2 linked regions of the Caenorhabditis elegans genome follow. The protein of the gene in region 2 interacts with the protein of the main gene of each other region in a pairwise test. Each region holds a gene or a part of one and is shown on either strand. Other genes may lie near its edges. The genes, in order: cebp-1 and ima-3.

Region 1 (3,924 bases), on a different chromosome or scaffold from region 2:
GACCTGGCTAAGCAGTATCTCCAGAGCATCAGCTGAGCCATCTGGCATTATCATAATTATTATCTCAAATCTCTGTAAAATTGTATTATTATATGTAGCACAACCCCTGGCTAGTCAAGCCCCCCACCGCAATATATTTATATATTTTTGAAATTTTTGAAATTTTTGACTATAGAATTTGGAATCCTAAATGTAAATTTTTTGAGCACTGATGAATTTATTTCTATTTAGATAAAATCAGCGATCAAAAAGAAAAAAACAATAGAAAAAAGGCAAAAATAATAAAGCGAATTTGAAATTATCAAGGCAAAATTAGTTAACACATGTTCAGGGGGGATAGGTTTTCAGACAAAAAATGCACTAGTTGACTGGAAGGGGAAACATTACCAGTGGTGTAGGGATTGGAAGAGGATCTGGTTTTTTGCTACGTGGTGTTGAAAGGAAGTTAAGGAAAATTTTCCAGCCAATTTCGAGTTATTGGACTTTGAAGCGCAAGAGGCTCTGCGAGCAACTCTCAAAATATAGGAAATTTCAAGTTTCACAACTAAGTAACAAAATAACTTGCCAGCAAGTAAACGGGGGGAACAGATGAAAGCTCAGCTTTGGGGGGAAGGGAGAGAGATGGAATAGAATTATGTACGGTTTGATGCTTGTTTTACACTGGGAGACTAGATTGGGATCAATGAAGGGGGGGGGGGGGGGGGGGTCACTGGAATGATGGGGGGAGAATGCCGTGGAATAAATATGAGGATCCTAGGTGTCTAAATTATTGATTGGTTAATTGATGAAGCTGCAGGTTACTTGTTGAAGTTCTCGAGGATGTGGCGTTGGGGCATGCGTTGCTCTTTCATCGGGCCTCTGAAATTACAAATCGTTGAGAAACACTAAGGGTTTTATTCTGACTCACTTATTCCTGAGAAGCTGCTCCAAGGTGTCCTGGTCCCGACGTCTGGCGTCACGCTCGGACTGGAGGAGCCCTTCAAGCTCGGCGATGCGCCTCTTCATCTTGTCGTGCTCGGCTTCCTTCTTGTCCTGGAGCTCCTTTGCCTTTTTACGCGATTTTCTGACGGCATCATTGTTCCGGGCTCTTTTCAATTTGTAGGTCGGCTCAGCCTTCTCCTCGTCTGCCTTGAGTTTGTACTTTCTTGCTCTGGTCTGTGGCTTGAAGTTTTCCAGTCCGGCGGATTTAGTTTTCTTGCTCTTTGGCTCAAAGTAGGAGTCGTCAACGCTTCCGTCGTTATCCGTCATATCGCTGGACTCCTCCGAGTATTCCTTCTGGTAATCGTCATAAGGAACTGGGCGTTTGACAGCTCGGCGGGTCTTGGTAGCTCCGAAATCCGGTGTCTCAGCTTTCACTTCACAATTCATCTTGTACCCATCCTGATCATAATCCCCAGGCACTCGATAGCCAGTGCCGTACGCCACGTGGCGCTCATATCCGTTCAGCTCCGGTTGTTCGTAAGGATGCTCTCCGTCGTAAAGGATGTTGCACTTTTGGAGCTCGGCATCATCAAAATCCACATTGTCGGTAGGAACGTCAAGATCGTGGAGCACTTGCAGGTAGTCGCCAAGGTCCAGCTCAGTTTCCATAAAGTCCACTGGATGGCGTTCGCGGTCACGTTGCTGGAGGGATGCGGCAATGGTAAGAGAGTCCTGAAAATATCGATGACTAAGAGTGAGCAAGAGCACTTTATCCACTTACTTGTCTTGCGAAGGATCCGGCGGAGGAGGTGGAAGCTCCGTTGTTCGGCATGTCAGTGAACCCACGTACCTCGGATTGCTGGAGTCTTACCAGGTGTGGATGCTTGAGGGCCTGGTCGCCCTTTTGGTGGCTGTAGTTCAGCTTGCTATACATTTTCTTTATTCTGAAAAAAATACACTAAACTTAAAGAGAAGTTAAAGAGAAATAAGAGCAAACAGTTTGCGAAAAGGTTTCGAATGTTCTCGGTGAGAGGCGATGAGAAATAAAAAGAGAAACAGAGAAAGCAAGGAGGAAAAATGAGAAAAGTGAAATGATGACGTCATTGCCGCCGAATTTAGCAACCAGCTGCATAAGGGTGAGCAAGCGCTATGGGACACACCCAGAAGGTTATCAGTAGTTATCAAATGGGAGTGTGAATAAAATAAACTAAAAAGGTTACATTTCTTACAGATTTTAGAAACGATAACTCAAACTTTTAGACTTGCTCCAACACTAGAAAATGGATAAAAAATAGATATTTAAATTGTCTATAAAGTTGAAAAATTGTCAGAAAGGAAATCGACATCACAAATGACTATGTAACTGCTAATTTAAGAAGAAGGATTATCAACATAGAAATCGGCTTCTAACACTACAAAATACTCAAACCAGCTCGAGGAGCCCTCCACCAGACCCAACCGTCTCCGGATTGCGAAATGACAAACCCCGACACTTTTTTCCACGTCGACTTATAGCCATGGGCGGGGCGAGTTGTGTACAATTAGACTCCAAGGAGATGGATGAATACCGACGCTAGGAGGCAGGGCGCAAAGTATTGCGAAATCGGCGGCAATGTTGTGTTGTGAGAAGAGAGGAGGGGACAGGAGACGCAGAGCTTGCGATGAGTCACAACGCCGCCTCTGCGTCTCTTCCCGCTGCACACTATGCGGGGCGAGAGGAATGGGAGAAGCGCGAGTGGTTTTGTTGTTTGCTGGGAAAGACGCAGAGAAACCGAGGGAACTGGACTGTGAGTCATACATGTCATGCATACTGCAAAGTCATGAAAAACTGTCGTGGGGGAAAATGGAGATTGTAGGAGAGAGAGAGAAAAAAGAACAAACTAAATAGAATTGTTCCAAATTTGAACATGGTGCATCGGCTACACACTTCGACTGGTAGCCATAAAATAATCATTTTTAGTTAAAAAACTATAAAACAAATACTATGTTAGTTGGCAAATTGTTATAAATTCATTCAACATCTGTTCAGTTAGAAGGTAACGGCTCAACAAAAACTATTGCTCATCGTGCATCGATTGGGATCACAGTTCCCATTCTAGATCCTTGCTGGTAAATATTCCTATTTTTTTGAAAAACTATAAATTTTCAACTTCAAACCGCTAGAAAACGTAATAATAAGAATTTTTTCAATTGAAAATTTTCTGAAAATCTCAAAAACAACCAAGTTATAAGCTGTTCAAGTTAGAGTGCAATACTAAAGTGATTTTAATACATGGTGCATCGACAAGAATCATATGAACTTGACAGTCCATGTGTTGGCACGATTTTAGTTCTAAACTTATTTTTGACTACAAAATTCGAAAAATGTGATAAAAAAGTATTTTGTCAATTGTTGACAATTTATTACCGAAATCAAAAACAACCAAAATATTGTTTTCAAGGTATAAATTTATTCTTTACTACAAAATTATAGAAAATGTGACAAAAACAAATACAAGTTTCTCAAGTTAGAGAGCTATACTGAAAGAGTAATAACTAAACATGGTGCATCGATAAAAATCATATGACTTTGATAGTCTATATCAGGGCTGGGCGGCAATTGCCGTTCGGTAAATTGATTTGTCGACAAATTCGGCAAATCGGCAAATCGGCAAACCGGCTATTAGCCGATTTGCCGGAAATTTCCAATTCCGGCGATATGCCGGTTTGCCGATTTGCCGGAAATTTTAATTTACGGCAAGTTGCCGACTTGCCGATTTGCCGGATACCAGATTTGCCTGAAATGTTTAAAGGGGTTTTTTATAAGACGGAAGCACTTAACACTGTCTATTTTCGAATTTTTCTCGTTTTTTCTACATATTTTTTATAGAATATGCGTACTTCTCAAAATAGATATAGGAAAATTCATATGATGCGTTTAATTTTGCCATTTGAAATTGAAATTCCAAAAAATAAGTGCAAAACCACAATTTGCCGAAAATTTTTGGCAAATTACCGATTTGT
Region 2 (5,312 bases):
TCAATGCATCTAGACTGGAAGGATCCATCGCTTCCCGAGTAAAGTTGCTTGTGATCAAAGGTGTCAGTGTCCCCTAAAAATTACAAAAACGGGACAACGGGAATTCCCGTTCCCGTGAAAATTTTTAAAACGGGACAACGGGAATTCCCGTTTCCGCGAAAACACCCAAAAAACGGGACAACGGGACATCCCGTTCCCGTGAAAATGACAAAAACGGGACAGCGGGAATTCCCGTTCCCGTGAAAATTTTAAAAACGGGACAACGGGAATTCCCGTTCCCGTGAAAACACCCCAAAAACGGGACAACGGGACAAACGGAACACGGGAATTGACATCCTTGCTTGTGATGGGATTGGAATCGGACAAAATCAAATGCAAGGTCGCAATCATGGCTGAAATTAAGAGTAGAGGGAATCTGAAAAGCTCCCGAAAAATTTTTGAATCAGCTGCAGCAAAATTTCCGAACTGCCAGTAAGACAACATTTTTTAATCAATTTTTTTGAAACTGACTTACTTTCAGAGCTATAATAACCGGACGAGTCATTGTAGAAGAGAACGCAAATCGCGGTGCTGAGGCTGAAAAGCTTACCCGTGATTTTATCACCAAAAATACTGACGTCAGCGGAGATGAGTTGATAAAATTTATCAACTACATGGAGACCTACGATTCCAAGTTTGGTTTAAAGGTAAGCCTGTAAAACACTGAAAAATGTTAAACGAATTATATTATAACTATATTCTTCGCAATAGTGATTCAAATTGAACCATTTCAGGCTGCAATTCAAGTTGCAAAGGACAATCTTCCATGGGCCGGCGAAGAGAACATAGACCAATGGGTCAACTGGGTCAACCTACTGATTAGTCTGAAAAGTTTCAAAAGTTCCAAACTTTTCTGTGAACACGGCATGCCAGCAGCGTTGGGGAGTGTATCTTTTCTTAAGTTTTTCAATAGATCTTTGCGAAAACTGTAACAGGATCGACACTGACCGAAGCAGATCAGGTGTTCTCCTGGATCCAGGAACACAACAAGAAATTGCGGGAAAAGACGGCTAATGTAAGTTTTTCGGACTAGAAAATACTCCTGGTTTTTTGTTCAAAAGTATTATATCAAATGCATTTGATGCAAATGCAAATGCAAATGTAACCATAAATATCATTATTTTTCAGGTGGTGCAGGATGAGAGCGGCGACGAGTAGGATGCAATCACAAAATTTATTGCTTTATAATTTTTATAAAATCCGCTGTTATTAATATTGTAAAGAATGTTGAGTAAATAAATTTATTATTTAAAATTTTTTGTTAAAAGAGCTTGGTACCCAAATGTATTTAAAATTGCCATATTTTGAAACCATTTGAAGCGAAGTTTGACATTTTAATCAGACATTGTTTTTTGTTCTTAATATCTTTAACATTTACACGTTTTCCTTTTTTTAAAGAAGATCCATCCAAAAACTCCGGAGCTTCTTTTCCCTAGTTTTAAAATCTACGAGTGAGACCTCTTATCTGCCAATACGCTCTATTGTGTGCGTTGCGTGTCAACCGCGACGCTTCTGCGACATATTTTGTCTCGTTATCGACTATAATTTTTCCCCAATCCTACTGAAATCTTTCCATCTTACATGTAATTCATTGGATTTTATTTAAAAATTTCTGTTAAAGTTTCTCAATATCGCTCTTTTCTTATTTTAAATAATTAAGCTGTAATCTTAGATACTTTTTGTGTTGCGAAATCTCTGATAGAAAGTTCCGCAGTTTTTAAACGTTTTTTGTTGCTTTTTACTTGCGCTACTATTCATTTATCAAGTTTTTTTCTTTCAGCAGAATGAGTTCAAACAGACAGGCTTATTATAAGAACAATGCCAAAGAGCAAATTGGCAAGGAAAAAAGGAACGAAGAAGTAAGTTCGATAAACTTGTTAACGCATACATTATTCAATTTTAAGGTGGTTTCGATCAGAAAGGATAAACGAGAGGAGGCAATTTCCAAACGGCGTAATATCAATACCCAAATTGAGTGAGTTTTTCATCTGATTTTATATGCTTCAGCTATGAGAGCTAACAAAAGTGTTTCATACGCTTATCACAGTAAATTATCTGTTCCAGTTTTTGAATTGTTTTAATTTTCAGAGATGATTCTGAGACTTCAACAACCCCACCAGGTCCATTTGATGCCAACCTCCTCCGGTTGACAGTCGCTGCTGCCCAATCGAGCGATCCCGCTGAGCAGCTGACTGCTGTTCAACAAGCCCGTAAAATGCTATCAACTGATAGAAATCCACCAATTGATGACTTGATTGGCAGTGGGATTTTGCCTGTCCTCGTTCAATGCTTGTCCAGCACGGAGTAAGAATTTTCATAAGGTCGCATCAAATTACTGTAAATTTTCAGTCCAAACTTGCAATTTGAAGCTGCATGGGCCCTTACCAACATAGCATCTGGTACATCAGAGCAAACACAAGCCGTCGTGAATGCCGGAGCCGTTCCTCTCTTCCTGCAACTCCTGTCATGTGGAAATCTGAACGTTTGCGAGCAATCTGTCTGGGCTCTTGGTAACATCATTGGAGATGGACCACATTTCCGTGATTATTGTCTCGAACTCGGAATTCTCCAGCCACTATTGCAGTTCATTAACCCGGAGATACCTATTGGCTTCTTGAGAAATGTCACATGGGTTATTGTCAATCTCTGCAGGTGCAAAGATCCGGCACCAAGCCCAGCTGTGGTTCGTACGATTCTTCCCGCCCTCTCACTTTTGATCCATCACCAAGACACCAACATCCTCATAGACACCGTTTGGGCCCTTTCTTACCTCACCGACGGTGGAAATGAACACATTCAAATGGTTATCGAAGCTCAAGTTGTTACCCATCTCGTTCCACTCCTTGGACACGTTGATGTTAAAGTTCAAACAGCAGCACTTCGAGCTGTAGGAAATATTGTGACTGGAACCGACGAACAAACACAACTTGTGTTGGATAGCGGAGTAAAAATTTTCATTTATGACTTTTCCAAATCTTAAATTTCAGGTTCTTCGGTTTATGCCAGGACTTCTCGCCCACTACAAAGAGAAAATAAACAAAGAGGCTGTTTGGTTTGTCTCCAACATAACTGCTGGAAACCAACAACAAGTTCAAGACGTATTCGACGCCGGAATCATGCCAATGATTATTCATCTTCTTGATCGAGGAGATTTCCCAACTCAAAAAGAGGCAGCGTGGGCTATTTCCAACGTTACAATCTCTGGCCGTCCAAATCAAGTTGAGCAAATGGTAAAGCTTGGTGTCCTTCGTCCTTTCTGTGCGATGCTCAGTTGCACTGATTCGCAGATTATCCAAGTAGTGCTTGATGGAATTAACAACATTCTGAAAATGGCTGGAGAAGCTGCCGAACAGGTGACATCAGAGATTGAAGAGTGCGGAGGTCTTGACAAGATAGAAAATCTTCAAAATCATGAAAACGAGGACATTTACAAACTGGCTTTCGAAATTATCGATAACTTCTTCAGGTAGGAGTCCAATTATATTTGATAAAAATCTTCAGAGTCCGTGTGCGAATGTTTGGTGTATACGTTTTTATATTTTCAGTTCCGATGATGAGACTGGCAACGTGGAAGGAGCTCAAAGTTCTGCTTTTGGAGGCGACGTTCCACCAGTTCCTGATGCTCCAAACGGAGGATGGAACTTTGGAAAGTAGATCTCCATGATTCCTTTAATCACAAAATACGTTTTGTCTTATTTCTCGTAAACAATTTCGCATGCCGTTCCCATACAAATGTTCATGTAGTTTTCGTCTTACTATTTTTCACACCTCACTTTTTGTTAGGTTCTCGTGTATTTTCATCTGACACGCGAGTTCCTAAGCCAGCTTCTCGGAAATGCAAGCTCTCTTTCATGTGAGATTTTGCACTTTTTGACCAATTGAGTTTGCACGTTCTTCTACAATCGATTGTCAATTATCTCATCCTTTCTTTATCTCTTCGTTGTTTCTGTACCATCAGTGATTTGATTAACATTTCACTTTTTCATCCACCATCTTTTTTCCATTGTGATTAATTAGTTACAATGTCCCCGCCCTCTTCTTCGTGTGTGCGAGAGTGACTGTTTTATGATAATATATTTCGATTTCTTTTTAAAGTGAGTGTGTGAGTTGTGCATTTTTGTTGAGTTTTGTTTTCATTTTTGTTTCCCATTCGCGCCCGTTCATTGCCCGCGTCCCCCACCCTCATCCTTTTATCATTGTTACCGCGTCGTTTTCAAATCTCTCATCATTTTTCCCAGTCCCTCCAATCCCCACGGTCCCCAGATTTTCTCTCTAAAAGCGAGTATTTTCATTTTCTTCACATGTTACTTTTATTAATTCTTTATCATATACATAATTTCAATTTCTTAGAACTTCTGATCCCCCTAGTTTGCTCATTTCCTAGTCATCCATCATCATTCTCGATTTCATTAGTTCTCGGAGAATCTCGTTGATAGGCCAAAAATTCCAATCACCCTGCTCCTCTTAGTTCTCGTGGACTCCAGTATTCTTTTTCTTGAAACCCCACCCATCCCGTAAGGCCTTTTTAAAGGTATATCGAGCCGTCCCTCTTCTCATCATCCATCTTCTTTTCTCATTTTCCCTCTCATCTTCCTCATCCCATTTTCCTTTCTCCCGTTTTGCTATTCTCGATTGTCTCGACTGACTGGCCAATATTCCCTTTACCTGGTGTGTGCTCTCATAATAAATAAATCAAATTTATTTGTTAAAAGTTGTTGTAAAACGAAACAATAATACACGATTTTCATTTATTTCATGACAAACTCAAATTTTCCGGTTTCTTCCAACAGTGAGCAAAGTTGTTCGGGGTCCACATTATGTTGAAGAGAAAGTTCGTCAATTGAAGTTTTTCCATTACACCGTTTCAGGAGACTTAAAATTGTATATTATTAGATAGTATTAATTGATTAACTTACGTGTTGTTGCCTGGGTTTGCAACACAAATAGGATATTTAGAAAGTTTACGAAGAAACTGATGATGCATTCCAAATTGTACAAGTCGCTGTTCATCAATACCCATCGATCTTGGTTTCTCCAGATCGGCCCATTCTGCTAGATTGTTGCCGCACTGAAAACGTAGTCGATTGCTATCAGATTCGTCGATCGGAAGTTTAGGTCCCACCACTTTCATGCTCAAATAAAGTCGGAACACATCCGAAAATTCTGGAGTTCGCGTTGGAATTTCTGAGCCGTCTGCACCGATTTCCGTTTGAATTTTCACAAACTCAAGGCAGTCATTGATTTCCGTTTGATTTTTGTAAAAGTCGTGAACT

The links.
Region 1: the proteins of ima-3 (region 2) and cebp-1 interact in a two-hybrid assay, tested with the Caenorhabditis elegans proteins (one study listed by BioGRID).

What each region holds. Positions count from the first base shown.
Region 1 is NC_003284.9:1,452,004-1,455,927, forward strand, and holds cebp-1 (CCAAT/enhancer-binding protein homolog 1), read right to left. Parts: upstream 1,866-3,924; 5' UTR 1,856-1,865; coding exon 1,703-1,855; intron 1,654-1,702; coding exon 908-1,653; intron 859-907; coding exon 798-858; 3' UTR 692-797; downstream 1-691. Other genes in the region: W05H7.1 (uncharacterized protein), read left to right, coding at 1-36. UniProt on the Caenorhabditis elegans protein: Transcription factor. Binds to promoter regions of target genes, perhaps at the motif 5'-[AGCT]TT[AGT][TC]GAAA[ACT]-3'.
Region 2 is NC_003282.8:7,558,172-7,563,483, reverse strand, and holds ima-3 (Importin subunit alpha-3), read left to right. Parts: upstream 1-1,819; 5' UTR 1,820-1,823; coding exon 1,824-1,898; intron 1,899-1,943; coding exon 1,944-2,014; intron 2,015-2,127; coding exon 2,128-2,343; intron 2,344-2,388; coding exon 2,389-2,983; intron 2,984-3,026; coding exon 3,027-3,505; intron 3,506-3,584; coding exon 3,585-3,693; 3' UTR 3,694-4,743; downstream 4,744-5,312. Other genes in the region: F32E10.9 (TPR_REGION domain-containing protein), read left to right, coding at 347-471, 521-686, 774-971; nprl-2 (Nitrogen permease regulator 2), read right to left, coding at 4,788-4,911, 4,956-5,312. UniProt on the Caenorhabditis elegans protein: Binds specifically and directly to substrates containing either a simple or bipartite NLS motif. Promotes docking of import substrates to the nuclear envelope. Seems to act as a cytosolic receptor for both simple and bipartite NLS motifs.